7 linked regions of the Oryzias latipes genome follow. The protein of the gene in region 7 interacts with the protein of the main gene of each other region in a pairwise test. Links are inferred from orthologs where the notes say so. Each region holds a gene or a part of one and is shown on either strand. Other genes may lie near its edges.

Region 1 (4,103 bases), on a different chromosome or scaffold from region 7:
TTTTTTTAAATTCAAACCGCAGAGATGACAAAGAATTGTCTGCGTCCGACACATTTCCTTTGGGTTTTTTTGCTGCTGGGGGCGCTCTGAGGGATGTGGTGGGGCCGGGGTTTGCTGCCATAGAAGCTGTGCTGGTTGCTGCAATGGGGGCTGAGGTGGGGACAGTGGGGACTGCGATGGGGGCTCTGGGAGCTGCGATGGGGCCAGCGGGGACTGCGATGGGGCCAGCGGGGACTGCGAGGAGGGGTCTGGGAGCTGTGATAGGGACAGTGGGATCTGCGGTGGGGCCAGCGGGAGCTGTGATGGGGCCAGTGGGGGCTGCGATGAGGGCTCTGGGAGTTGTGGTGGGGCCAGTGGGGGCTGCGATGAGGGCTCTGGGAGTTGTGGTGGGGCCAGTGGGGGCTGCGATGAAGGCTCTGGGAGCTGTGGTGGGGCCAGTGGGGGCTGCGATGAGGGCTCTGGGAGTTGTGGTGGGGCCAGTGGGAGCTGCGGTGGGGGCTCTGGTTTGACCTCTAGCAGCCATGGAGGATTTCCTACGTGGTGCGCTCCCAAATGTTTGAAAAACTGTGACCTGTTGACCAATGTTGCCGGACAATGGCAACAGTGAAAGTGTGACGCAGTCCGGCAACCTAAACCACACTTGATGACTGTGAATCCTAAAAGAGGAATGATGGGAAGAACATACTTCATGACTTGTGACTTGTGACTGACAGTTTCCATTCAGAACCCAGACTGTACCTTTGTGTTTGACGGACGAATGGTTTTCCATGTGGTGTCTCACAGCATGCTCTGCGCCCTTGTAGCGGCAGAACGGACAGTGGGAAGAACCGTTTAGGGTTTTCGGCGTTGGTTTTTCATTGCCCAATAAGACTGTAACGTGTCTCTGTAAAGAGAGGAAAAATACAGGTGGAAAAAACCGGAAAGTTTCACCTACATTGATTGGAAGACACAAAAAAGTTGAACATCATCATGATGATTACGAAAGTCCCGAGGAGTAGAGCCGCAATTCTAACTTGTAGTTCCGTGTGAAACCTGAACTACGTGGATATTACGACAGAAAAAAGCAAAAATACAAATAACAGCCTCATCCGTGAGGCGAAAATGTGTCTTATTGTCATGAATGCCCGTTTGTTTGTTGATGCGTACCTCCATCTTGCAGTTCCGTGTTGTGTCGCTGCACATGGACAATCTGACTGCAGCGAAGAAGAAGAAATGGAATCACGTTCTGTGGGCGGAGCCCAACGCGTTTAGCCCCGCCCACGTCGAGGCACACTGCCCACTGCAGCGAGGGGTAGTCGTCTTGGGGAGGCTCTCTTGCGCTTGCGGGAGGGGGGTGTCATGAGGCTACCAGGGTTCGTACCACTCCTCTGCGCTCCACCCTCGCGGAAGCTCCTCGCGCTCTCCAGTCACCGGCACGTGCGCTGCTCCCGCGAGTCTGATGCTGGCATGGCAGAGGAGGCGAAGAAGCTGGCCGCCTACGCCGCCGTGGACAACCACGTCCAGGTACCCTAGTCGCTGTCCTCTGAGCGAACGCGTCCGTTCGAGTCCTGCAGCAGGAGAGTTTGAGACGACGTCACGGCCGTTCAGCTAGTAGTTCCGGCGCGCGGCAAAGTTAGCAAGTACAACATTATCTAAATACTTTAAAGCGACTTAGCGCGGCTTTGCGCGGGCTTGTCCCGCTTTGAACCGCACTATGGTGCTGCAGCTAGGAAACATTTAGGGTGAAAAGGAAAACAGGGGCATGAGCGGTGTAGAAGTTAGTCTAGGCTGGAATTAACGGTGTTGTTAGCCATAAGTGTGGGGGGTCAGAGGTCAGCTCCTCCGACCGGGAACGGGAGCCCCCGTGGGCCAGAAAAGCGACCCTCAGGTGAAAGGTGAACCTAAACACCTATTTTAATTTCAATAAAAACAGTATCAATGTTATTTTTGTTTTGCTTGGACTTTCATGTTAATTATAGATTTTTATATATAGATAAAATGTGTTTTTATGAAAAATTTCACTCTCTGCAGCTTCTTGAAGCGTCTTTTCCAGCCAACATTGCTCCTAAATGTTGCCTTGATGTGTGTCTGAAAGACATTATTACAGTTGTAAATCACTAGCTTTTCTGTTTTTAAAATGTTCATGTGACTTTACCATTTATTGAAACATGAATATCATACTGAAACCTGATGAATGGGATTTAAATTAAAAATCAAACTGGATTGTGATCTTGTGAGCTGAATGGATTCAGACACCACGCCTCCTTGTTTTCTGTAGAACAACCAGGTGGTTGGAGTGGGCAGTGGATCAACCATTGTGTACGCCGTGGACCGACTGGGTGAGCGCCGTTGAACTGTTCATGTCTGTGTCCAGTGGGAGGAGCCTGCTTGCAGCCGCTGGTGATGGTTCCATTCCAGCAGCTGTGACTGCAGTCAAAGAGCAGAACTGACCACTTGGCGTTCATGGGTCCAGTGTTTATGTGGCCTCCGTTTTGTCTCTGTTGCAGCGGAGAGAGTGATGCAGGAAAAACTCAACATTGTGTGTGTTCCCACCTCCTTCCAGGTGAGTGGATGTGCTGTTGTGATCCGCTTTCATCGCTTTTCTTTTTGCTGCGAGTTTATTTTCTCAAGTTCCTCCACTCGGACCATTTGTGTTTGTGAAATCAGGAAACTGGCGCGTTGCACTACGACAGTTAGCACATTCTTTGCATGTGTTGCTACAGACCTCTCAGATCTTTGCTAAATGCAACATTTCAGTGCAAAGTCCTGCTTTGCTTTCTGCTCGATTTTTTTTGGGGGGGAAACTGCAAAACAGAATCAATGTCCACACGAACTCATGGTTTCTCACCCTTCAACGCTGACCTCAGCTGATCATCATCTGCAGATGCTGCACCCTTTGTGGGTTTGGGCAAAGAATTCACTAAAGATAGCTTCTCCTGTAGAAGTGTTTGAATCTGGCTCTTCAAACCTGCTGCTCCTACTCTGACTCCTTTTAATTACCCAGTGACACTTCAGTTTAAGTTTACTTACCTGGTTACTGAAGAAACAAATGTAAAACACTGCAACCTGATGCGTGTCTCACATTAAAGCGCAGCCAGAAATGCAACAAAACAAAACAGTTTGAACCAAACAAATTACAAATTTAATTACAAACTCTGAACATCAAATGTAAAATATAAATAAAAAGAACAAAAAATAGTTTCTTGTTTCTTCATAACTCCACCCCAAAAAAAGATCTATTTCTTCTTATTTAACTTCTACTTCTGTGTTTTCTGGTTGTTTATTTAAATGACTTTTCTACACACAGATTAGACCTGGGCCATGTGGCCAAAAAAATAAAATCTTTTTTTCACTCCATAACACTTTTTTTTTTCTCCGTCCTTTTAATTTCTTTAACAAAAATTACAAATGATGGGATATATTCAACAAAAACTACTTAATTTTAACATCACCTTTAAAAAGTAGGCTCCAGCACAAAGTTCAGCTAAACACAAAAGCTGTAGAAATGTCTGCAGATCCATTTTTGGGAGCTGCAGACAGCTGGAGCGTCTGATGAAGAGAAACGCTTCTCTCTGAACAGAGTTTGTTTCAGGTGTTCAAACAAATGTGTCGTCCTCCCACTTTTGTCAGCTACAACCTTCAAACCAATTTTGCTGTGTGTGGACAAATTGTTACACTACACAGAAAAACTATCGGTGTCAATTAAAAACAAGGAGGAGTGCAGACAGAGAGGACGTCACAACATGGAAACAACTGTTCAAAGTGATTTCTAATCTGTCAGAAAATAAAATGACCTTAAAGAAATCTATAAATAGGATGAACACATCTTTAAAAATAAAACATGGACAGATTCACTAAAGGGCAGCAGATTGAAAGAAAATGTATCTTTTTCCTAATTCTGCGGCTCTGTAATGTTAGATGTTGCTAATAAAGTTTCATTCACGTCTGTTATTGTGTTTAGAAAATACAGTTCATCCTCCCCGTCTTAAAGTCCGCTCTGTGTAAATATTGTGTCACTTTAAACCAGTTTGTGGTCCCAGTCTGGCGACACTCGGAACAGCTCGTTAGCATAGCATGATCGTAGCATGTTAGCATCAGGGTTTAACATCAGCGCCGTCTTCAAA
Region 2 (3,517 bases), on a different chromosome or scaffold from region 7:
TTTATCTTGATTCCTTCCTTTTAGTACAGTTTAAGTCTATTTTTTAAACAGTTGCACCAAAGAAATAGACTTAGATGTGTTTTGTTTTAGCAGACATATATTCAATCTGAAGACAAATAGAGCTTCTCTTAAGGAAGCTTCAGCTAGATTAATATTGACAGAGATAAAACAAAACTATACATGACTTAAAATAGGAAACTGCTTTTTGTGTGCTAATAGAAAACTGGAAGCACATCAGAGCATCAGCACTGATGCAGGTCTCCTTTGAGATGCGGCTGCATTACCTGCTGCATGCGTAGAGACTCCAGCTCTCGTTCCAGTCTCGTTCGGAGTCGGTGCTCCAGCTGTTCTCTCTTCTCGCACGCTGCCTGGAGCTGAGCCAGGGCCTGCTGCATCCTCTCCACCTTTTCCACATACACCTGCTTTTTCTTCAGCTGCACATAAACAAACAAACATTCTTATTTACTGTACTAGTGAACGTTTTTGGTCATTTTTCACTGATTCAAAGCCTTGCCTCCTCCTCCAGCTTGACCACTTTGGCCTGGGCATTGTTGAGAGCCTGGTCTCTGATCTCAATGTGTCTCCTTTGGTCGTCTGCAGTGGAGCGAAGGGCGTTTAACTCCATTTCCAGCTTCTCTTTCTCACGCTGCATTTCTTTATCTGAATTCACATTCAAAAAGAAATCCTTATTATGCTTTATTTCACAAACACATCAAACACACTGGTGATTAGTTTTAAAAACTATAATGAAAACACTAATAAAGTCCCCTGTGATTTATGTGGCATTTTTGAGACCCCCTGAATGGAACTGCAGTGCTTTTGTAACACACTATTCCACGTATGCTACGTGCAGCGGCTGCACACATGTCTGGGTCTCAAGGCCTGTGGAGAGGCTCATGTGCTCACCCGTTCGTCCTGATAGAAACAAAGTAGAATAAATAGGATAGAGCAATAAAGACCAGACTATAAACTATTTACCGTATTTTTTTGAGTATAAGTTGTGTTTGTTGTTGTTGTTTTTTTGCATATGTTTAGGAGCAACTATTTTGTGATAGTAAAAAAAAAAACATAAATAGGCTCATATAGTGTATTGTCACAATCGGTTGCCCTTTCACGGTTAATTCCCACTAACAACCACTAGAGTGCACTGTAGGTGTGTGTATCGGTATTTGCTCCTCACAGCAAAGCAGAAGAAGAGCCATCCACAACAAACATGGAAGGTAATTTGATGGTTCTCCTGAACTTTATTACAGTTTTCCTATTTACATCGAGACATGACGATTCTTGTTTTTACTTTTTTTGTTTTGGACTCAGTTGGCTGGGTGTAGGATTGGCACGCAAGAAACCAAGATTCGCCTCCCAAGGGACGCAATGAGTGTGGGTTCTTGGGGCCTTCACGCTACTGCCTAACTATGTAGCAACAGGGGACCAAGTCTGGGTCTCCCTGTGCCGGTCCCCAGCCCAGATAACATACAGGTTTGAGTCAGGTAGGGCATCCTGTCTAATAAGCTCGGCCGAACTACCTGTGTAAATCAGTGAAAGCTGATTCGCTGAAGGGATTTGCTGAAAGGTGAACGACAACATTGAGCATCGAATTTAACGTGCATCAAAAGGGATGCGGGATGGGAATTTGACGTGTAAATGCAATAATACACAAGGTTTGGTGGATTTGTTCAGAAGAGTTGTAGTTTTAGGAGAAAAGTGCAACTTCTATATTTTTTGGCACTATTTTGGCCTTTTTTGGCTCCTGCTACTTATACTCTGGTTGTTTTTTATGCAGAAACGGTCCAAATAAGAGGTTTCATTGCCGTAAATGATATAAAACAGAGTGAAGCTCAGTCACTTCTTGTCTACACAGTTGATTTATTCAACTTATTTACAATTTCATTTTTCATTGTCTTAAACCATTAACTGTATATCAGAACTGGACCGAGTGACCCCACCCCGCTCGAGTTCCAAACTGGAAGTACCTGCTGGTTCCAAGAAACCAAAATCCCATAGACTTCTATAGAAACAGCCAGTACTCAGTCGTTCTACTTGTTATAAAACCATTCCTGCTCGGATATCTTAAACTAAGCCCTTGCTTAATTTCTTCATGATATTTTTTTCTGTAATGTAGGTTATAAACTGGCCAATCACATGCCTGAATCAAAGGATAAGGTTTCACATCAAACATTCAAAAGTTTTTTTTTTGACAGATTTCATTTTCCCCTCTTTCAAGTGGAAGCGATGTGGACTTCCAACAAGCTCCTGATTGGCAAGAATGGTTGCCATAGAAACGTTGACCGACTCAGACCAATTAATGCTTACAGACGGTTCTGATTCCAACGTGGTGGCACCGTGTTCCTAAAAAATGAATTGACTTCATCTTGCTGGAGCCAGAAGTAAACCATGTTTATCGATGACATCACACTTACTCCACTTTTCATATACAGTCTGACTTAAAAAAAAATATTGGGGAAATTTGTTCTCCACATTTGACCCATCCCCTGGGGGAGCGGTGAGCTCCAGACACAGCCGCATTCGGTGGTTCAACCCCCGAATCCAACCCCTTAATGCTGAGTGTCAAGCAGGGAGGAATTGGGTCCCATTTAATAAGTGTTTGGTGTGACTCGGCCTAGGTTTGAACCCATGACCTTCCAGTTACAGAGCGGACACTCTAACCACAAAGCCACTGAGCTGGTTATTAGAGACCCCTTATGACAACTTGGGAAAAAAAAACATGTTTTTTTAATTCTAATGATGACGTTTATAACCAAAATCCCACAATCTAAATGTCTTTAAAAGCCATATTTCATGTCTATCCAAAATCTCCTCTACGTGGGCATTGGTGCTGAGTTGAGTAGCCCCGCCCTCGACCCCCCTTTCTGCAAGCTGCATCTGCAAGCCGCAAAGTTCTTAAGATTTTAGGTAAAAACTGTTTTTGTCTTCACTCCATTAATTCAGTGCCATTGTGTTGAGTTTGCTGGCTTTGTCTGCAAATATTTCATTGAACTTGTGATCTCCAAAGAATTTCTTCTAAAACTGTAAATCCAGCTGCTGATCAGCCAAACGTTTTCATGGGTTAAAAATTGAAAACATTTGAACAAAAATTGCATTCATGTGGACTGACTAATCTGCAGCAGCTTTAAAGATTATCCCTGTGTTAGTTTTGAGCCTTAAAAATATGCTAAATGACCATTAGCTAAAGCCAAATGGCTCCGCTGCCAACTCAAACACTGACTGTGGAATATGTGGCCACTGATTGGAGAAGAAAAGGGTGTTTAGTGTTGAGGTAGGCATGCTTGCTGGAGTATGTGTGTGTGTGTGTGTGTGTCACTCACTCTGTGTGAGCAGCTGTGAGATGGTCTTGCGGTTGTCCTCTGAGCCCTCGCAGTCTTTCGTGGCGAGCTGCTTGTTTGCCGTCTCCATGCGCTCTTTAAAACATCAAAACCGGAAGTAAATGATCTGGACTCACACAGACATTTCTAGTTGTGAAAAGACAACTATTGTTATTTTATAGTAAGTTTGTGCATCA
Region 3 (3,951 bases), on a different chromosome or scaffold from region 7:
ACCCATCTGATGAGGGACATTAAGCTGTTTGCCTGGAAAAAAACAAAGTTGGCAAACACATGAAAACATAATTCTCTGTGGCTTTCTATAAGATTCTCCCATTTCATGCATGGCTGAAAAAAACTCTGAAAAAAAGTTTTTTCACTTTCAGGCAAGTTAAGGACAGCAGTTTTTCTGTTTTACTTACCAAGAACAACCAGTCTGGACTCTTGAGACTTCAGGTGGATTATGTAGAAGGCACCAAGAAACACAGCCAATGCAATCAGTAGCATAGGGGAGCTTATACTGACAAGAAAAGAAAAAAAAAAAGGCTCATAATGCTGTTACTGATTCAATCTTTTCTTTTTCTTTTCTCAATCCCGGTGGCCTTAGTGTGTGCAGTCAGTGTTGCATCTGTTATTTCATAAAACTTCAATAATGTTTTGAGGTAAGGCCAAAGCAAACTCAGGTTTACACCTACATGCAGTACAGGATGAGACCCAGGAAGATGAAGGTGTAGTTGCTGTTGTAAGTTTCCACATTTTTCACCACTCTCTGGCATGCATCTCCGAAGTTTCGTGGTTTTGAAAACTTGCGTTGGTCCACAAAACTGGCCCACGGTCGAATGGACAATCGGCGCCTATCAATCCACTCCTTGGCCATGCTGGCAGAGAAGCCTTTAGGGAGCCAGAGCCTACAAAATAAAGGTAAAATGGTAATAAAGCGTACAAACTCTCAAGGAAAAAGTCAATGCATTACAACTTTTGACAATATGAGCAAAACAAAAAAGTATTTTGTAGTTTGATTAAGGAAATTCTTAGAAACTTTGACAAAACAAAACTTTAAAAAAAAAAAAATTTTAAGTAATGAGGCACAGTCTACAGAACAGGAGGATGAGGATTTAGGACTAACTCCACCCCCAAAAGTGGATGTGTAAAGACAGTAACTCACAGAGCCTTAGCACCATTGCTGTGGTTTTTCTACAAACGCTGTTTAATGTCCACGTCCATCACCGAAGAAAGTTGTTTGGGTCACTAAACTCCTTTTTAAAAAAAACAAAACTGACTCGTACTTTGAAAGGATTCCAGCTCCACCCGTGCCAGTTGGGTGAGCATCTTCAGCCGTAAACAGATCTCCAGCCTTGCTGTCCATGTCCACTTGACAGTTCTCTCCCTTTGGTACTCCAGATGGCATCTGCAAACCTTCTCCTGAAAATAAAAGAAAATAGAATAAATAAAATAAAAGAAATAGTCTTAAGATTTTTCCTTCACATACTTTTTTTTCCCCCTTCTTCGGATCAGCACAAGATAAATAGTCCAAAAACTGTGTGGAAAAATGGCCTTCCTTTATATGGAGATAGATGTTTTTTACGAGAGATGAAGTGGGATAAAAGAATATTAACGTTTTTGAGTTTGAGGTTGTTTAATGAAGAGCCTAAGTATTAATAATAATTATAGAAAATCATAAAATAGAAAATATATACATATGACTGAAGACATATACCCAAATACTACAATGGGTAACTGAGTAAACAAATGAACGGAAGATAGAAGCTCAGGAAAGATCTGACTCCTTTTCTTTTCCTTTTTTGCCTATTGTTTACTGTTAACATGCAGATAAGTGCATGCCAAGTTTGCATGTGGGATGTTGTTACATCATTGGGTTTGTCAAGTGGTTTAAAGATTTTGTTTTGTTTAGTTTCTCCATTTTGCTTCTAAAGTTAATTTAAAAAAAAAAAAAAGAAAAAAAAAGATTGTCTTATTGGAAGTTTGCATTTTTCCTCGTATTTTTCAATGTACAAACGATATGTATCCTTTATAAAACATGTCAGAATTTTTCTGGATTCTTCTTTATTTTCCCCTGTTTAAATGGGAAATAAAACACCATACACCATACAACCATACAATCTTTACGATTTTTGTAACACTCCTCGAGGTGCATCAAAAGCAAACTTAAATAAATAAATAAAAAAGGAAAAAGGAAAGGAAAACCTGTTTACTTTATTTTTTAAAGGTAAATAACAATTGATATATTTTATAAAATGTGTTTAAAATGGAGAAACAGCAGTAACTACAAAAGAAAAACTACATGATCACTAGTTTCCACATTATTCTTAAGAGCATAGAGGTTAGATTTTAATTCAAACTTGTTCCTGATTGGCCAGAAACATAGGAGCGGATCTCGTAAGTGGAAAATTTTTGTCAACAGGGCTTGGTCACTGCCACATCACTGACAAAGGCCGAGAACTGAGCCAGAAAACGACATTTTGAGCAAGTAAAAATCTTTTAAGGATCAAATTTGTCCATATGTGTCGAATTATAAGTGGAATAACTTTTATAAAATGAATACTACCTACTTCTTCGTGTCTCATGTTAAATCAAACTGATTGTACGAAGATCACAGTAATTTATAAACATTGAAATGAAAAGACATAAGATTTTACCTTCGTGATGTGTCAAATGTCAAACCTACAGACGATGTAGATACTTACAGACCAAGTTATGGATAAAAAGCCAAGTTGTTTTGTTGCTGTTGGTCCTCACGGATGTGATGTGGCTGAAGAAGAAGAAGAAGAAGAAAAGAACTTCCTACAACACCAATGCCGCACACTGCCCCCTGCTGGTTGCACCAAAGAACTCCCCAGTCTATGATGTTATTTTTTCCCTTACATTTAACCATATAAAAATATTTTATTCATTCCTCTATTTAACTTTGAAGTCGACAAGAAATCAAAAAACATTTTTAGTGCCAAAGTGACAGAGATTACTACCTTGATTCTTTTAGGAACAATCTGGGAACAATCGGTATGTTAAGTGTGGCAAAAACGTGACCTTACGTTATGAAACCCAGCCCGAGAGCTGTGATTGGTCAATTTACGACTCACGTCTAGCCACTGTCACGTCGCACGTTGCATTGTGGAAGTTGCTAGATCATCCAGCGTCAGGCAAGCTATCGCGGCTGAAAGGTGAGGTCTAATGCACTCTAGGAATATTCTCTTTGTGGAAAATGTAACCTAATAGTGTTTTAAAGGCGCGTGTTTAACGTTACGCTGTATTAGTTGACGCCTTAGCGTCTGCTAGACTAATAAGTTCAGCGGGATTCATCATCATGTCGTCGCACCGACCGTCGTTGAAACAAACAATAGACCGTCTTATTTGTCTCTAGAATTGTTTTTCTGCTAATTTTGCGTGGTGTTACGTGAAGTATAACTGCCAACGAGCTCCTGTGTGTGTGTTTTTAATCGAACAATTGAAGAGCTGTGTGTTTTGTATGTGTTGTCCCCCACCCTACTGATTACATAACTCTGTTCAGAGGAACGGTACCGAGTCGGTAAAGATAACATTAGCAATTGTAGCTAGGCATATATGACAGTAATTAAACACATCTCGATGCATTTCATTATAGGTGGTAGCTGCTTGCAAGTTTGAAGAAAATCTTAAATAGTGAGTGTTCGTTTGTGGCACACAATGTACACACAAAGACTTAACATGACAACTACTAGCTACAATTAAAATACCCACTCCGATGAAAATGAAAATTTAGCTTAGAATTGCATTTCTGAGTATTTCTTTATGCAAACTGATGTGAATTAGACGCAAAAAGCTGTTGCAAAAAAACGTGTAAGTGTGACGTAGAAGCTACTACACCAACCAAGCTCCCTCACTGCTCCATTCTGATGCTTCATTCTGACACATTTGGGCTTCATTTTCCTCGTCTGAGCTGCCATCTGGCTCAAAACTGTACGGTTGGATAGCTCCAATATTGTTCACAATTTTTGTTGCACCACTAATGTGCAGTGGAAGTTGTGATTGTGAGGGGCTGTAAGCGAGTGTGTAAAGGGATGGTGGTAAGGGGGGGCTAACTCCATGCCAGCAGTCCTGCCCACGACTCTGGGGGGTTAATTTCTAATTAACTCCTGCCGCTATGCAGAAACCTTCCTAGAAAACAACACGGGGAACGCTTTGAAAATAT
Region 4 (4,111 bases), on a different chromosome or scaffold from region 7:
CAATGGCTTTAAAATAACTTTGTGTCCAATGATCTGTCAATGTCTGATCGTCTGATACCAAAAAGGTTATGGAGACACCTGAAAAGATAAATAAAAAAGGAGAATAACTAATGTACAGAAAAGACCAGAACACTAAAAAAAAGAGATGTTTGACTGAGAGTTCGTTGACCTTGGCAACATTAACAATCACCAAATGTGTTTTCTTCTCTCTGCCTCTTTTACTCACTCTGTCTGACACAGGGGAGAGACAGAGGCCCCAAACAGTACCTGTGTGTAGAATAATCCTGCAGTGTACCCAACACCTGTGTCTGCAGAGGGATCCAGCAGCTCTCTGTCTGCCTTTGTTTCACTAACACTGATGTCCTCCTGTTTTGCCCAATCAAAATAAAACGTTTATCACGTATCAGATTTTTATGTCTTTTCCTTTAAAATATTTGAAGTTCTTTCTAAACATTGATTTAGTTATTTATTTGCTAGTGCAACTATCAAGTTATCTGTAACTGTTGCACATATTTACACTTCGTTGATAAAGTAAATTTTGAATTAATTATTGTGAATATTCGGTTCATTTATTTAGCCTGATGCTATATAAAACAATTTCTTGTAAACTGATTAATTAAATTAAAGAAAGTTAAGCAAAAATTATGTTTACCAAACTGCTGTTTATGATTTGGAACAACCCATTCCAGAATGTAGAGGGGTTTAAAAATCTACAGATGTGTTACATAAACGGAAACAACAATTGAAAATAAACACAAAAAATTTCTAATTGATACGATTTTTTTGTCAATATGAAAGAAAAAAAAATTATAGATCATATTTCAGACTAAAACAAAACTATTTCATGAGTGAAAACGATTATAATTAAGAAAATCAAAATAAACTATTTTAATGAATGATTTGTGTGACGTTTGCAAGGTAAATACATCATGTTACTCTTCATTTAGTTTTTTTAGTTTTTATTTCAATGTGTACGTAAAAATCTAGATGGTATAATCCAGTGTGGTGTCGCGTGGAGCGCCTTCACTCGGCTCTTTACGGCAAATTCCGTCGATGTTGATATAAAGTTCGTGAGCCGCCGCCTCACCCAGACTGCTTTATGTCTGGCAGGAGAGGCCATGCGCAGTCGCCATATTACGGCACACCCCTCCCTTTCAGTGCCGTCACAGCACAGATCCACAGCAGCCGCGAAGGAGGCCACATACTGAACGTCGCCGCCACTGGGGAGGACCGGTGATACAGCAAAACCAATACCAGAAACGAGGATTAGATGGAATGGATTTAGCCTCTGCACTCCGGTATTAGGTGGATGTTTTTTTGCATTTGCATCACCGTTTCTCTAATGAAAAGGCTCCTTTGTTTACTTTGCTTAATCTGGGTAAATAAGTAGTTTGAACGACTCACTACACCCTCAGCATAGCTAGCCGGTGATGGAAACTGGCAGCTAACAACTAGCTGACGATACTCCTCTGTCAAGCTAGTATTTGATTGAACCTCCTAACGGGGGGTATCGCTAGTCAAACTTGTGTACTCTGCAACTCGAAAGAGTGAAACACACGGGCTGTTCGTTCACTGCTAACAAAGGCTCCAGCGGACGTTAACCGGCGAAGTACAACTGGCATCAGCTGACGTTAGCGGCTAGCTGTTGAACAAGCGGCCACTAGCTTTGCTAGCTGTCACAAGAAAACTCTGAATCCTGTGCGCGAGGCTGTGGATATTGGCACGGGTTTGCCCAAGTTTTGAGGCCAACCGCCCTACTTTCTGACTTGCCTTATATTTTTCAGTTGGGTTGTATGTTTATTGTAGTTTTTGCAAGACGGCGCCGTTAACGAGCCACAGTCTACATTCTGTCAGAGAGCAACTACCGCCCGGCGGATCCCCTCGAAATGCATCATCATCCGGACCCTGCAGGAGACTCTGGCAGTGGTAGAAAGATGGCGCATCCGAATGCCACACATAGAAAGGGCAGCAACCCAAACAGCGGGACCAGTTCGTCGCTGTCAACACCGGCGAGCGCTCTGGTCAGCAACAGCCACGTTTCGGCCGATGATTATCATGGCTCCCTGTTGATTCAACCTCCTGCTGGTTCTTCCTCCCCGGGTCCCCATCCTCCTCCTCACAGCCTTAGCCTGCATCCCCAGCCCCAGACCACTCAGTCGACTGGAGCACAGATGATGAAGAAGAAGAGCGGATTTCAGATCACAAGTGTGACTCCAGCGCAGGTGTCGGTTAGTACGAATAATAGTATTGCAGAGGACACTGAAAGTTACGACGACTTGGATGAGTCCCACACAGAGGATCTGTCCTCTTCTGAAATCTTGGATGCGTCCCTTTCTCGAGCGAATGATGCTGTTGGCGCGGAGAGGAGCTCTTCAGAGGAGACGCTGAACAACTTTCATGAGGCAGAGACCCCTGGAGCTGTCTCCCCAAACCAGCCTTCACACCCCCACGCTCTGAGCCAGGCACAGCACACCGGGACTATGGTGAACGGGACTGTACACTCTCATCACCCCAACCACGCTCAGAGCTACCCCGTGTCATCTAGCATCACTCCATCTACACACGCTTCCAGAGCTTTACCTAGTTTTACCCAGAAGATGCCTTCTAGCGTGGAGGGTCCTCAAGAGAATGTTTCCCATGCTGCCCCTCCAAGTATTGCTTCTCAGTCTGTGGGGATTGTGGCCTCAGGATCTGTCCCTGGAATGCACAGCTCTTCAGCAGGCACCACACTTAGCATAGTTAATCCCCAGACCAGCAGTGTGAATAATGTGAATGCTTTGAGCTCTGCCAGTGTGCCTGTGAGAGGGGGAATCAACACAAGTGCTAGCAGTAGCGGCGGTGGCTTCCCTCTGAATGTGCTTAACAGCAGTGAAGCTGGAGGCGCTGCTATTCCAGCTGGAGGTAACCATATGTCCAGCGCTAATCTCAGTGTGATCCAGCAGCACCAAAACATCAACCCAAACATCACCATGGCTACTACCACCACTGCTGCTGCTGCTGCTGTGAGTGCCTCTGGCGGCATGGGGGTTCCCAGCGGGACACAGGGAAGAGTTGGATCAGCTGCACTGCAGCCTGTGAACTCCTCTGCTACAGCTGTGGCCTCAGCTCCTGTTTCATCCGCTCCTGCCATGCCTGCTCCTACTCCAACTCCAGTTTCAGCGCCCACAGTGGCTATTACAGGCTCTCGCTTCAGGGTGGTGAAGCTGGACTCTAGCTCTGAGCCCTTCAAGAAGGGGAGATGGACGTGCACTGAGTTCTATGACAAGGAGGTGCCACCCTCTGCGACCTTTACCTCAGCCCCAGATGCTGGCTCTCTCAGCACACGTCATTTTGTGTCTGAGAGCTTTGTTGGAGCCTTGGAGAGGGAAAGCACGAGTGGTGGTACTGCAAATACATTGAGCCATTACAATGAGAACACTGGAAGTGGAGAGGCTGGAGGGCCCCCGGTACTTCAGCATGCCCAGGATTTTGCCTCTCCTCCTCAGGGCTATCGAGGGATGCTGCCCAGTGGCTTAAACATGGGAGTACCTCAAACCCAACCTCATGAGATCGCCCATTCACAAGTGAAGACTACTGTAGCCCCCTCAGCTTCCACAAATATTCATCAGCCTGCACCCATGCCAGGGCTCCAGACCACCGTTGGCTTGCCTGCACCTACTGCCCAGCAGCAGCTCACCTATGCCCAGGCAGTTGCCAACCAAACCCCAGGCTCTTCACAGGGCCTGCTGGGTGTTCAGCAGCAGAAGATAGGCTTTCCCACCCTTCCACAACAATCAGCTGCTACTTCATCTGCACCCCCAGTGTCAGTGAGGGCTCCTGAGTACACCCAGCCCCAGCAAGGGGTCCCCCAGGCAGCTGCTTCTCCCCCTCTTTCCAACCAAACTGGCTCAGTGCCCTCTGGGCCAGCAAATGGATCTAGTCAGATGATTGGCGGTCCCCAGCAGTCCCAAGGACTCCAACACATACAGCCCACCTCTGTTCAGTCCACCTCTTCCAGCATACCCTCTCACATTGGTGTAGCAGCTCTTGGCCGGCCACCTCAGAACCATCCAGGCCATCTTGATTGTCAGAAGCCGCAGACCCTCCCCACGCAAATTCAAAATCCAGGCCT
Region 5 (4,172 bases), on a different chromosome or scaffold from region 7:
TTTTATGTTAGATGTTTGCCTCCTACGTCGACAAGGGTCATTTGGAGTATAATTTTTAAACTGTTGCAGTGAAATGGAAATTATGTTTTTGGTTGTTTATATACCGCAAATTATATCGTTATCGCAATATTAATCACCAATATCGCACATCGCGAGTTTTCCTCATATCGTGCAGCCCTATGCGCTAGTATTGGTAGTGAAAGTCCAGTGCACATAATTGGTGTGAACGTAGCTTAACACTAAAGCTACATTCACACCGGCCGCAGTAGTACACTTTCCAGTTCTATGTAAAGTTAAATGCATGTAAATGCGCATTTCTGGCTTCTGCGTTAAAAACTATAGCGTTGACGCGTAGCTACGCAAGTTTGTATGACCGTTTTCAGGCTCTACGTACGAAATGGGTGTTGCAAGTCAAACCGGGTCGAACTTTAACTAATTGAATTTGGTATTGAAGTGTTGATGGCGTCTCCTTTCATTCATTGAACCATTTGAAAATTGATCACGAAAGAAAAATTCATCATTGTGTCGGTCCGCAATTCGACAACACCAAATCTTTCGTAAATCGGAATATAGGCCCGTACACACCGGGACGAATATTCGCCAGGCGTTGTTCGCCAGCGTTTTTCGCAACGTTTTTTGTGTGGTTCGGGGATATTTTAGAATTTCCGTCATTGTTTCTTCGCGGCAGTGTAAACGCTACTTGGCGTCTATCTTCTTCGCTGGTATATGTGCTCAGAAAGGCAGTTTTGTGTTTGAGTGCCCCCAAGTTGTGTTTTACTGTAACTTCAGAAGCTCCAGACACGTGTGCAAAAGCGCCGTTCTCATTGGTCGTATAGTTTTCGACGCGGCGCGTCGAACCAAAAAAACGAACCAGAGGCGTTTTTTAAAAAGTGACGCTTTGACGCTTGGTGTTTTTTCGCGTCGGTGTGCACACTCACGTTGGTGCCCTTTGTTTAGTCACGAGGCGTTAAACATCGGCGAAAATCGTGGGCGAAATTCGTCCCGGTGTGTACGAGCCTTTAAGCTGTGAAAGAAAAAGCCTGGAGACCAGAGTTTCACCCCTTCAACGTTTCACACCCCGCCTCTTCCAGCTATAGGTGGGGGACATGCGCTAGTGAACAGTAGAAAAAGAAGAAGAAGCCCTTCCCTGTTTGTTCAGTGTGAACACCATGGGCTAAATGCGCGTTCTAGAATACGTGTTTAGCATGTTCTTGAATGCACGCCAAGTGCATGTAGCTTCAGAGACGCAGCTGTTATGTTTAATACAAAAAAAAAACACACAACCAGAGACAGTTTTCAACAGCCAATCAGAGAGAGCGCTGCAAATAGCTGAGTCGGCATGGAGTTTCTCACTAAACCAGCTGGTAGTGGCGGTCTGAGTGACAGAACTTTCCCGCTCAGAATCAGAGCTGATTCCTCAAAGTCTCCTTCAGTGGGATGCTGATCCTCCCTACAGCTGGGCAGGGAGGATGACTGACGGATCAGGACTGCTCTGCTGCCCCGCCCACCCGCACATTCCAGAGAGGAGATAAAACTTTGTTTTGTCTCCATCAGAACACACCCGGCTCATCGCGCTGGTCCTGCTCTGAGCCTCCAGCCCGGGTGGAGATGCGATAAAAATGGCAGGTCTGAGAGGGGCTGGGCCTGGCGCCCGTCCCCTGCGGGCTCACAACAACCACAGGAGCGCGGGGTGGTGCCACCAACCTCCCCGGCATCATCAACATCATCATCATCTTCATCATCATGCAGGGGAGGGGGATCTTCACGTGCAGCTTCAGAGCTGTGGGGGGGGAGGGGGGGGGGGGGGGGTCACATGTGAGGAGCAACCCGCTCTGGAATGACAGGAATGAGGAAGAGGAGCTGGCCCAGCCGCTCTGTCCCACTGTGATGGGAAGCCCTGGAAGCTGTTCTCTCAGAATTCTTAAAGAGTGCCTCTTTGTGTAAACGGGTTCTGAATGTAACCAGATTCTGGACCAGGTTCAGCTTCTGTTTACATTGACAGAGGTCAGTGTTTTGTATTTGGATCTGGTTCTGAAGGGTGACCAGGTTCTGCATGCACAGCGAAAGTGTTTCAATTTGGACTGGACCAGGTTCTGTAAAGTTGGACCATGTTGGTGGATCTAGTTCTGTATATTTGGAAACAGCTGTAAAAATGTAAACAAAGGTTCTGGATGTGGACCAGGTCGTAGACCTGAAGGGGTTCCGGTCTTACCTCCGTGACCTGCACGTAGCTGGACGGGAACCAGCCCCGGGCTCCGTCCTTCTCTCCCTCCCACCAGCCTCCGGGCAGAGCCTGCACCACCTTCACCACCTCCCCGGCCTGGAAGCTCAGTCCCTGCTGGTGCTGCTCCCCGCTGAACGGGTATAAAGTTCTGCAGAACGATCCGGACATCTCCAGCCCGAACTTCCACGGATGCTCCCGGACTCAGAGGGAACCGTTGGTTCGATTCCGTTCAAGTTGAGACAGAGGGAACGAGTGCAGCCGGACAGATGTCGGGATCTGCTCCTCCTCCGTGTTGTCAGGACTCCGCGCCTCCGCTTCTGCCTGAAGTCGCGTGAAGTCTCCTCCAGGAGGCGCGTGAGGCTGGACCGAGTGAGGGCCGACCGGCGGAAGCGGCCGCTCTCCCTTCAAAGTAAAAGCTGAAAAGCCCCACCATGTCCGCCGTTTCTTCATGTTCATTCTAACAATTGATTAAAACAAAGAAAGTTTCTCTTCAACCCCATTGAACTTCAACATAGGATAATTCATTATGAAAATATTTTTTAATTCAAAGGTGTGGCTGAAATGTTGTTTTTATTTGTTATGCAAAATAAAATCTTTTTTTTGGGGAAGAGACAGAGGGAGCTAAAATTGTGTGCCTTGTCTAGGCTACCCCACCTTGGTGGGACACAGCCTTGGTAAATAAAAAAATAAAAAAATAAAATCTATGAACTTGAAATGACACTTCAATGTAGTTTCTCTGTGACATCATTGTTTTTAAATCATTATCCGTCCATTTTACAAAAGATTTTCAGAAATAACCCAGACAATTAAAAGTTAAAGAGACAACAATAAAACATAATTCGTTAATTATCATTTTACATTAAAAGGTTGAATGGCATTCTCTGTAGCAGTTTTTTCTTTTTTACAAAGTTCATAAATTGATACAACTGTGTTTTTTATTTTATTTTATCAGTTTTCTGGGTTTTGCCTCGACATATTTGCAGTCACAAACTGGCACATCTAGTAGGCTTTGATTTTTGGCTTCATCTCCTTTAAATATAAGTAAACATTCTTTTAAATTAAAAATTTGGATGATTTTTTAAAGGATTTTTTAGGAAATATCTGTTTCTCCAAAAAGAGTAGTTTGTTTAGATTTTATTCTGAAGGGTTTGACCGGAAACATTTTTTTAGAAACCAATTAACTTGATGTAAACCCGTTGAATTTGTGGATAAAAGATAATCAAATTTTAAGTTTGTATTTTAGTAACACAATCACCTTTATACAAGTAAAATAAACAATTTATGAATGTTATCACTTTTGTAACTTTATTTTTTATGCAAAAGCATTGCATTGTGATTTACAGTTGAGTCTATAAGAAAAGTCTTGAACATTGACTAATGTAAATCCTTTCTAACCCTCCATCTAACAGATCAAACTGTTAAGTCTGTCCATCACACATGTGAAAAAGACATTTCTGATGGTTTTCTTTGCAAAAACGACTATACTGAACAAATATGTGGACCACAACTGCCATCGAAAAGTAGTTTGCAACTCTGCTGATGAGCTGCATCCAACAGTGTCATCATAACTACCAACTGTCCAAAGACAAACAAACAAAAAAACCTACATCATGTGAAAAACTCATCAACCCATTAATCTCAACTCAACAATAGAAAAATAAAGCACTGTGCCATTTTCATTGGTTCAGGCTTCAGCTTCACAGCTGGCCTCAAAATAAATTTTATATCTTTTTCAGTTGCCAGAAAGACTTATGTAGCTGCATAACTGTTTAGCTTTTTTCCATTTTTTCCCCATTATAAACAACATAAAGTCTGTTGTCTGAAAGCCGCTGAGCCAAAACAAAGTGTTTCTGGGAATTTTCTAAAACTGTTGAGATGAAGGATATTAACGTAAAATCCATTTCAGGATGTGTTTTCCTCACTACAGATGTCTGTGTCACACGCATGA
Region 6 (4,227 bases), on a different chromosome or scaffold from region 7:
TTGAAATGGCAGCTTGTTATCAGATGAACAGAACACTGTCCCAGTGGGTGAAGAAGCTCTGAAAACAAAACAAACCTATTAAGACTTAAAAATATATCAAAGCTGTCAACTTTACACCTTGTAGGGTCTGGTTTGTCAAAGAAAACTTTAACCAACCACCATGTTAGTGATTTTTATTTAAAAAAATGTTCTTAGTCTTTTATTTGGCTTAGTTCTGTCCATTCTTAAAAGTTCTTTATCTTGTCAGCAGACTTTTATTCAGTGAGGCCTTTAAAGTTGGGGCCGTTGTAAGACGGTAAGGCTATTTTTTGGCTCAGAAGTTTGTCCATGATGGCGATCTCTGCGTCCCTCCTGTCCACCTCGTCCACAGGAGTCCAGGACATGTCGTGCTGAAGTTTGAACGCTCCTAAAAACGGATGAGGGCAGCTTGGTCCCCACTCCTTCAAAGAGAAGAAAAACAGACTGTTTTTTACTTTCCAGACTCACAAAAGAAAAAGAAACAGTTTTTTCTCCAATGTTTTATATTAGAGAATAATCGTTAATTCTTTAAGCAGCAACAGTTGAACCCTTTTAATAATCTGGGGCATTATTTTTAATTTTTTTTTCTCCTTTCACAATTTGCTCTAAATTGTCTTTACAACAGTTTTTGTGGTAACGCTTGATATACATCTTTTTAATACAACACCAGCTTATTTTCAAAAGATTTATTATTAGAATATTACACAATAATTCAACACTGAACCTCAAACTGTATAAAATTTAATTCCGAATGGAAAAATGTAAATGCAGATCAAACATTAAAAAAGTATAAATTTAAATAGAAAGCAAAGACGAGATAAAAGAAAATGTAAAATTTGTCTTAAAAAAAAAAAAAAACAGGTGAAGCTCCACTCAAAGTTCCAAGGATTTATTCCAAGTGGAATCACAAATATGCGTCTTATGTTTGTTTTAAACCAAAAATTCCAAAGCTAAAAACTTTTTGAAACTTTCAAATTAAATTTGGAATGAAACTATAATAATGGGTTTATCATTGTCAACATCCAATGTGTTTGGCAAACTCACCAGTGAGTTTAGAGACTACTGAGGGTTCAAAAAGGGAATTGACATTTTTATTCCATGCTTAAACAAGGTTATCATTTGTTGCTGTTTCAGCAATGTTCTATGGAGAGAAAAAAAAAACAACTCCAAAAACTTTAATAATCTGTTTGCTTTGCACAAAACTCTCAGTTCTACTGAAACCAGCTGGTCCGGACAAAACCGTGCTGGGAATCTATCAGCTTCCTTTAAAGTTGCATGAACTTTGAACATCAAACCCCCTTAGCACGTGCACAGTCAAGTCAGGCGTTCATGTTCATTCACAGAAATGTTACATAACGTTTGTGTTTCAAGTGAGGCTCCAACCTTAGGTGAGATGATGGAGAAGTACTTCTGTCCAGATGGACGCTGGTAGAGGAAATACATGTTCCCCGGCTTCTTTACAATGTTGCAGGCGGCGTGGTGGAGGTCTGCGTCTCTTTTTGCTTCTTCCAAAACCTGACGGCAGAAACGAGTGAGATCCAAGAGGGTTGAGATGTGTGCGCTCCCAGATTGATCTGGTGCAGTTGTACCTTCCTGGCCTGCTCCTGCAGATATCTGATCTGGTCTGCAATCACTGTCAGCTTGTTGCAAGCGTTGGCTTTAACAAACTCGTCTCCCTAGGAAGATTTAAAAAAAAGAAAATCAAACCCCGTATTTAAGGTGTTACTTGGATTATATGCGTCAGTGACATGAGGGGTGAAAAGACACACACCTTCTGTACTTGTCCTGCCAGAGCCACCAGATCCATGGGGTCTCCCACTCTGTTGGTCTGGTAGGAGCTGACCAGTTCCAGCCCACTGGGTGCCGGGTTTCTCTCAACCAGAGTGACTACAACACAAGGAAGGTTACATGATAGAAAACTAATGTTGCAGCCACAAGTCTCTTTCTTTAGTTATTCCACTGTAAGTACAGGACACGCATAGTACCAATTTATAATGTAATATAAATTGGTACTATGCGTGTCCTGTACTTACAGTGGAATAACTAATGAATATATGAAAGCAAAAAAGGAAGTGAATTTAAATTAATTCTCAATAGAAATGGTTAGGTTAGCATTATCGAGTAATTATTTTCTGACTTTAATTGTTTTCTACTTTTTCTTGTTTGTTTTATCTTTGTCTGTTGGAACATTAGTGTTAAGATCTCTGCTTCTGTCAAGCGCCAGTTTTTCAAAATAAGAGCTCGGATCTGCGTTGAAGGAAATTCTAACAGATTGTTGGTTACATTTTAATTATTGTGTGTTTGTGACACTTCACAAAACCTACCCACATATAAATGACATTAGTGGTTGTAGGAGGGGCGTCTCAACGGATATGGGAACATTTTGTCCATCAACATTCAAACAAAGATCATAAATGAAACAAAATCCGGATCCACAAACACGAAAATTTAAAAGACTCAGCTTGTGTGGTAGAAAGTATATGTGAAAACAGCAACATAAAGATAAAGTAATAACAGAATAACGATGCTTAAAATAAAAAAATGTAATTACTGTTTAGCTATTTTAATCGTATAATGGTTAACAAAATTCACAAGAAAAAAACGACAATCAATTGGTACCTTTAGTTGTGTTCTCAGGCTGGTTCGGTAGACTAACCGTCCTCTCCATTTTATGTTTAATCGCTATTGAACTCCTCTTCACTACCGAAAACGAGATTTATAGGGCTGCTCTTCGTTCTCCACTCACCGGTTTAGTAACGTGCTGAAAATACTGTGGCCACCACCCTTTTTTCTTGGCTTAGTAGGACACATATGTGCCTGTACGAAATCAAAGCAAATAAACTTTTCTTTCAATTTAGGCTTTTTTTATATTGTTTGTTTTTACCCCAGTTATAAATTATAATCAATAATCAATGAAAAGTTAAAAAAAATTATATCAGCCCCAATAAAACGTTTTTTTCCCTTTTCAGGCATAACTTTGGACCCCTAAATCCCCAAACCCAGGTTACAGCTGATATATTTGTTACATGTTGGAGTTACAGCATCGCACGTGTCATAGCTTAGTTGTTTTTACCCCCCCCCCCCCCATGAGTATTTAAATAACTGGATCCTAACCAACAGAAGATTGTTCGTTTGTCACATTTCTTAAAGCTTTAAACCTGTGTAAAATATCTGAAATTTTAGGATTACAATCCTAAAATGTGTACTATAATTCAGTAAATGATCTACGCTTGGGGTTGATTGACAGCATGTTATTGCTCCAGTACAGGTTTGGGTAATGGGGCACCAGGAAGTTTTTGCGGTTAAAAAAAGTTTAAATAAATAAATGAATCATTTTGAATCAATAAAAAAGCTATTTTAATTTTTTTTTTTAACAAAAACAGGTAAGCCTACATGTAAAAACACTGAAAAATGGTACCTAAAATGATAACATAAGTCATACCTTAAAGAAAAATAACACGTCATATTATCTTACTTAGACTGACAAGCCTTTCCATTAGAATCACCTTAACTCATTTAGTTTTACATGATTTTCCCACTTTAAGATCAACAAAGTCTCTTATCCTCATATTTTACCTTAGCTTTAAACTTTAATTAAAAAAAGAGGCTTAAGGACGACATGTAACACTATTGCCATTACTAAAAAGTCAAAATAAATTCTTACATTTACTAACATATGTCACATTTGTTGCTAGTATAACAAGTGGTAACATTTATTTGCATTTAGAAAAGTAAAGTTTCACGCCCATAAGAAAATTTATTTTTACCAAAAACATGCAAATAACATTTTTGTATACAAGTTATTTTTGAGTATGGATAAAAATTTCTAGTGATCGGAGTTTTTTTTAAAGAAATTAAATAGTAAAAAAGAAATATTAAAAGGGGAAAAAAGCACTTTTCATTAAACATGATGATGGGACAGGGCGTCATGTAAACACAAACGTTTAGTTATGTAAATGTGGGTAAATGGACGTTTCAAAATGTAACTTGATGATTTGGGGGTGTGCACTGAGTGTCCAACCCCACCTCCTGCAGCAAGCCCCGGCCTGAGCGCTGACACCTCCCCACCAGCTCCCCTCTCGGTTCCAGCCGCTCGGCCCGGACGTTTCCCACCATGGAGCTCCGCTCCGCGCTCTTCCTCCTCTGCCTCGCCGCGCCGCTCTGCAGGTCGGACTTCAGCTCCGGAACCCCGCTGGAGCCCTATGACTT
Region 7 (4,067 bases):
CAGCAACCACTTCGACCTCAAAACAGATTAAGCAGATTTAGAAAATTTATGGATAAATGACAGTGTGATGGCTTTTTTGTACATTTGGGTTTTCTCTCTCTATTTTCTTTTATATTTTCTGCTGGAGTGGGAGGTTTTCTGTCTTCCTTCTCCTCTGCCAGCTTTGATTGCACATTTGTGCCTAATTGTCCAGAGCACCAGACTGGGCAAGGATCTCCAGGGCAGAACATACATACAGGCTTTGTTCTTTGTACAGTATTTTCCACACTACAGGGCTCACCGGATTATCAAGCACAACATCAATGAATGGTCTATTTTGAGCATATGTCACATATAGAGCACACCGAACTACAAGGCAGATTAAGTGAGATTAAAGAGTCAGAGAAATGTCCGTCAGTCAGTCACGTTACTTTGCTTGCAGCACGTGGACAAAACAGACTGATAGCGCTAAAACAAACGTTACCGTGACTACGCTATCACACAACCTTTTTGGTAACCAAAAAAACAGTCCAACATCGCCACACATTAGCCGCGTGAGGGTATTCACAATAACACCCAACCTTGTTTGCAGCATAACTAATTAATAGATAGGGTGATCATGATTTTAAGACAAACTGTTGCTTTTTAAATAAAAAAATTAAGGGTTTTAAGTGTGCTTTATACTGCAAATATACAGTAATTTGGTTGTTTTTTTATTAAATAGTATTTCTTTTTCCTAAAATGGGGTGTAACATAAATTGGGGGCTTGTCCGGGATTTCTTTGGTTTTTGTAATGTACTGTGTGTAGTGGCCAGTTTTAGGGATTGCCTATTTGTTTGATGAACTTCTTTGTTTGGTTTGATTGACCGTTTTAGTGAGACGCTTTCACAACATTTGAGCGTTATATATTGGGTGCTCCCAAATTCGAAGTCTGCGTCCTTCAATGGCCGCAGTCTTCCCTGGCGATGTTACTCGGGTCCTTTGTTGAGCGGGTAGGTCAGATGTTAATGGCTGTGAATTTGGACGAGTCTAGCCTTTAGATAATTCCAGCCATTACATCAGTGAATGTCCTGTTGCCTAGCAACCGTGAGTCCCGAACAGGGAGGAGGAGTGAACCAGGCATGGAGCCATTGTTGTCAGAAAATATCCGGGTTCTACTGCTATGCATCTTGGGATATGGACAGCATAGAAGGGTACACCAGAGCAATCCTTGAAATCGGGTAAAAAGAAGGCTGTATTCGGTGGCCATATTTAAAGGACTTGTTGAATTTGGACAACATGTTACGTAAGCAGCCTTCAGATGCAGCCCAGGAAGAACACAGCCCTCCAATTTGGACACAATTAATGGAGTACAGTAAACCCTTGTTTTTCGCGGGGGTTACGTTCCAAAAAGAACCCGTGATAGGCAAAATCCGTGAAGTAGAAACCTTTTTTTTTAACAATTATTATACAATTAAATTCTCTATTATACATTGAAAAGAAAGAACAAACCGTTTTACAGGCTAAGGAATTGTTTCACAAATAAAAGTACTTTAGAAAAGGTTTTTCAACAAATATCTTCTGTATTGTACTGTCAAATAAGAATTTTAATCATCAATGTGAACAGAAGGCTTCAAATCGCGGAGATTAGCCCCGCCCACCGCGACCCGAGTATTTGGATTAAACGGGAAGATATTTAAAATGATTTTTAAAAAAATACAAAGTACGGTCAGACAAATAGTGACTCAGGTGTAATTCACTGCTCTTGAGCCGCTGCATCCTGACTCCGCTCTGCAGTCTCCCTTTGAAGCCCGCGGTGCAGCTGTGTTTGTTCGGGAGAAGAACATAGTGATAGGCAGTTGTTGTTGTCGCTCCTTTTTTTCATGGGTTATAGAGAAACTCGAAATTGCAAGATGATTTGCACGTATCTGTTGTAAATTTGGCACGCTGATTTACGTACGTGTACATATTAAACTGCAATGTTATTGACGCACAGGTAGAGAAGTGAAGTGACTTTTTAGCCAATCAGAATGCAGAACACAATGCACGATGCAAATCCGTGAAGTAGCGAAACCGTGAAAAGTAAACCGTGTTATAGCGAGGGATCACTGTAGCTGTATTTTGAAACTACCAGATGTTTTGCAAAAAGGATTTTTCTTTTTACAGAGAAGGCCTGTTATTTACTTTCAAATATTTCTTGAGACCACCTGAACCCTTGAGGGCTCGGTGCCCATCATTCTCAGTATGAGGTACTTTTTGAAATATTATTTTTAAAGCAAACATTTTGTTTATTCGATTGTCTTGTTAAGCCGTTTAAAATGTTTCCAGATCTTCTTACCGTTCTGGTGTCGTTAGAGATGAAAATTACAGCAAACTGGTCCAGTGGAACCATTTTCTGTGCTTGAATAAACTCACAGAGCTTCCAAACATTTTCCTCACTGAGAAAGTAAAGGAAAGCAGCATTAGCCACTCATTCACTTGATTAAAATGAACTATATTTCCCTGAAAATTCATTCAATCATTAATTAGACAGATGGCATTGAAATAACTCATTCACTATAACAGTTTTAAAAATGGGTATAACATTTAACAATGTAAACTGTGAATATCGATTAGCCGAGCGGATCCGCTTAGCATTTTGATGTTTTTCTTGACAATAAATGATTTATTGACACAAAACTAAAGACTGCAGGACAGTGGGCTGCTTTTCTGATTTGTTAAAACTTGGTTTTTACCAATAACAGCTGGTATAAACGCAGTTTTCCCGGCTTGGTATTACTTCCACACCTTTCTTTAACTGACCCTTCATGTCTGTAAGCTAACCGGAAAGAACCTCACCGAAAATACAGTACGTCACATCCGTCCTTTCAAACTAAAAGCCCATTCCTGTAGCGTTGATTTCACCAACTTTTTATTTTATTTTATTCTTATTGAACTTCAAAGGATGACACGTACACATTCACATAACTACAATAGAAAGATATAAAAAGAAAAAAGAATACAATACAAAGAAAAAATAAATAAATAACATTAGAATTGTAGCTCACACTAGGTATGGTCATACAACATGTGATCTTCAATGAAAATTGACAGTTTTATTGCATTTCTGTTTTTCTTGAATTCCAAGGATTTAAAATGTAAACAGATCTCTTTATGAAATGTATTGAATAATGATTTGATTTTAAAAAAATCTGCTCTCATTGATGAAGAATTTCCCAGAATTTAATAAAGTATCAAATGCCAAATCAAATAAATTATCACCAGAAAGTACTCACAACTGTAACGGAATAGAAATAGGAAAAGGAAACTTTGAGGAGCACCAACAAACACAATACTCCCAAAAACTGGTAACATATGTACATTCAAAAAACAGATGATCAAGTGATTTTATATTTATTAACAGTTATTTTCTTGAAAACCAAAACGTAAATGTAGCAGTTCCTTGCATGGGTATACTGCATTCATTGTTTAAAATGGGTTTCTTTGTATTTTGGAAAAATTGGGTTTTTAAAAAACTTTTTTGTGTAATGCTGGGACATAGAATGAGTTTTGTAGAATGTTGGAAACAGTTCTCCAACAAACAAAGAACGTATTACATAAGTTTGGAAGTTTTGAATTAACCAGTCGACAATCAAACAACAAAGATGGAAGCAGGAATTTTGCAGTCTTTGATTTTGGAAATGAATCTTTTTGAATTGAGTGGCAACTCAAACACCTCATCTAACACAGTATGTTAGGGAAGTTAGGGTCATGCTGCTGAAGGAAGCGACACACTGGAAGGTACTAAAAAAAGTGAGAGTGAGGCAGACAAAATTTGGAAGCAAGATCATTGAAGCTTGCAAATATACCGCTTAGGTACATGTCCTTAAAGTTGATTATACTGTACCTTAATCACTTCCCAAATCATGAATACGAAGTCTGTCTGACCAGGGAGAAAAAGGTGATTTTTGTGTATAGGACTAGTGGTAAGCACTTGAGTGAGTCCATACGTCTGTCTGAATTGAAACATAATTTTAAAGGTATTGGTAACTACTGGATTGTGTGTAATATAGTGTGAAATGACACAGGGGAGACTAGATCCAATTAGGGCTGTCAGAGTTTTTGTATTA

Evidence for each region.
Region 1: the proteins of wdyhv1 (region 7) and rpia interact in binary tests that used the Homo sapiens proteins (3 or more experiments, as listed by UniProt). The two-hybrid records come from large-scale screens. The link is inferred for Oryzias latipes from reciprocal best matches to the Homo sapiens genes NTAQ1 and RPIA.
Region 2: the proteins of wdyhv1 (region 7) and angiomotin interact in binary tests that used the Homo sapiens proteins (3 or more experiments, as listed by UniProt). The two-hybrid records come from large-scale screens. The link is inferred for Oryzias latipes from reciprocal best matches to the Homo sapiens genes NTAQ1 and AMOT.
Region 3: the proteins of wdyhv1 (region 7) and rabac1 interact in binary tests that used the Homo sapiens proteins (3 or more experiments, as listed by UniProt). The two-hybrid records come from large-scale screens. The link is inferred for Oryzias latipes from reciprocal best matches to the Homo sapiens genes NTAQ1 and RABAC1.
Region 4: the proteins of wdyhv1 (region 7) and TSC22 domain family protein 1 interact in binary tests that used the Homo sapiens proteins (3 or more experiments, as listed by UniProt). The two-hybrid records come from large-scale screens. The link is inferred for Oryzias latipes from reciprocal best matches to the Homo sapiens genes NTAQ1 and TSC22D1.
Region 5: the proteins of wdyhv1 (region 7) and growth arrest-specific protein 7 interact in binary tests that used the Homo sapiens proteins (3 or more experiments, as listed by UniProt). The two-hybrid records come from large-scale screens. The link is inferred for Oryzias latipes from reciprocal best matches to the Homo sapiens genes NTAQ1 and GAS7.
Region 6: the proteins of wdyhv1 (region 7) and c5h1orf50 interact in binary tests that used the Homo sapiens proteins (3 or more experiments, as listed by UniProt). The two-hybrid records come from large-scale screens. The link is inferred for Oryzias latipes from reciprocal best matches to the Homo sapiens genes NTAQ1 and C1orf50.

The regions. Positions count from the first base shown.
Region 1 is NC_019880.2:22,089,905-22,094,007, reverse strand, and holds the start of rpia (ribose-5-phosphate isomerase), read left to right. Parts: upstream 1-1,289; 5' UTR 1,290-1,338; coding exon 1,339-1,503; intron 1,504-2,257; coding exon 2,258-2,318; intron 2,319-2,486; coding exon 2,487-2,542; intron 2,543-4,103. Other genes in the region: uncharacterized protein LOC101171122, read right to left, coding at 1-656, 739-883, 1,147-1,182. UniProt on the Homo sapiens protein: Catalyzes the reversible conversion of ribose-5-phosphate to ribulose 5-phosphate and participates in the first step of the non-oxidative branch of the pentose phosphate pathway.
Region 2 is NC_019872.2:12,814,587-12,818,103, forward strand, and holds part of angiomotin, read right to left. Parts: intron 3,417-3,517; coding exon 3,324-3,416; intron 661-3,323; coding exon 515-660; intron 435-514; coding exon 285-434; intron 1-284.
Region 3 is NC_019874.2:20,935,568-20,939,518, forward strand, and holds the start of rabac1 (prenylated Rab acceptor protein 1), read right to left. Parts: upstream 2,806-3,951; 5' UTR 2,750-2,805; intron 2,536-2,749; 5' UTR 2,471-2,535; exon of another isoform or gene 2,423-2,470; intron 1,188-2,422; 5' UTR 1,174-1,187; coding exon 1,052-1,173; intron 674-1,051; coding exon 461-673; intron 286-460; coding exon 188-285; intron 33-187; coding exon 1-32. UniProt on the Homo sapiens protein: General Rab protein regulator required for vesicle formation from the Golgi complex. May control vesicle docking and fusion by mediating the action of Rab GTPases to the SNARE complexes.
Region 4 is NC_019879.2:17,035,980-17,040,090, reverse strand, and holds the start of TSC22 domain family protein 1, read left to right. Parts: upstream 1-1,311; 5' UTR 1,312-1,886; coding exon 1,887-4,111. UniProt on the Homo sapiens protein: Transcriptional repressor. Acts on the C-type natriuretic peptide (CNP) promoter. Acts to promote CASP3-mediated apoptosis.
Region 5 is NC_019877.2:20,922,967-20,927,138, reverse strand, and holds the start of growth arrest-specific protein 7, read right to left. Parts: upstream 2,807-4,172; 5' UTR 2,393-2,806; coding exon 2,213-2,392; intron 1-2,212. UniProt on the Homo sapiens protein: May play a role in promoting maturation and morphological differentiation of cerebellar neurons.
Region 6 is NC_019863.2:24,468,047-24,472,273, reverse strand, and holds the start of c5h1orf50 (uncharacterized protein C1orf50 homolog), read right to left. Parts: upstream 2,809-4,227; 5' UTR 2,687-2,808; coding exon 2,638-2,686; intron 1,906-2,637; coding exon 1,790-1,905; intron 1,695-1,789; coding exon 1,608-1,694; intron 1,534-1,607; coding exon 1,402-1,533; intron 441-1,401; coding exon 255-440; 3' UTR 1-254. Other genes in the region: p3h1 (prolyl 3-hydroxylase 1), read left to right, coding at 4,133-4,227.
Region 7 is NC_019869.2:4,812,100-4,816,166, forward strand, and holds the start of wdyhv1 (protein N-terminal glutamine amidohydrolase), read right to left. Parts: upstream 2,815-4,067; 5' UTR 2,768-2,814; coding exon 2,694-2,767; intron 2,397-2,693; coding exon 2,297-2,396; intron 1-2,296. UniProt on the Homo sapiens protein: Mediates the side-chain deamidation of N-terminal glutamine residues to glutamate, an important step in N-end rule pathway of protein degradation.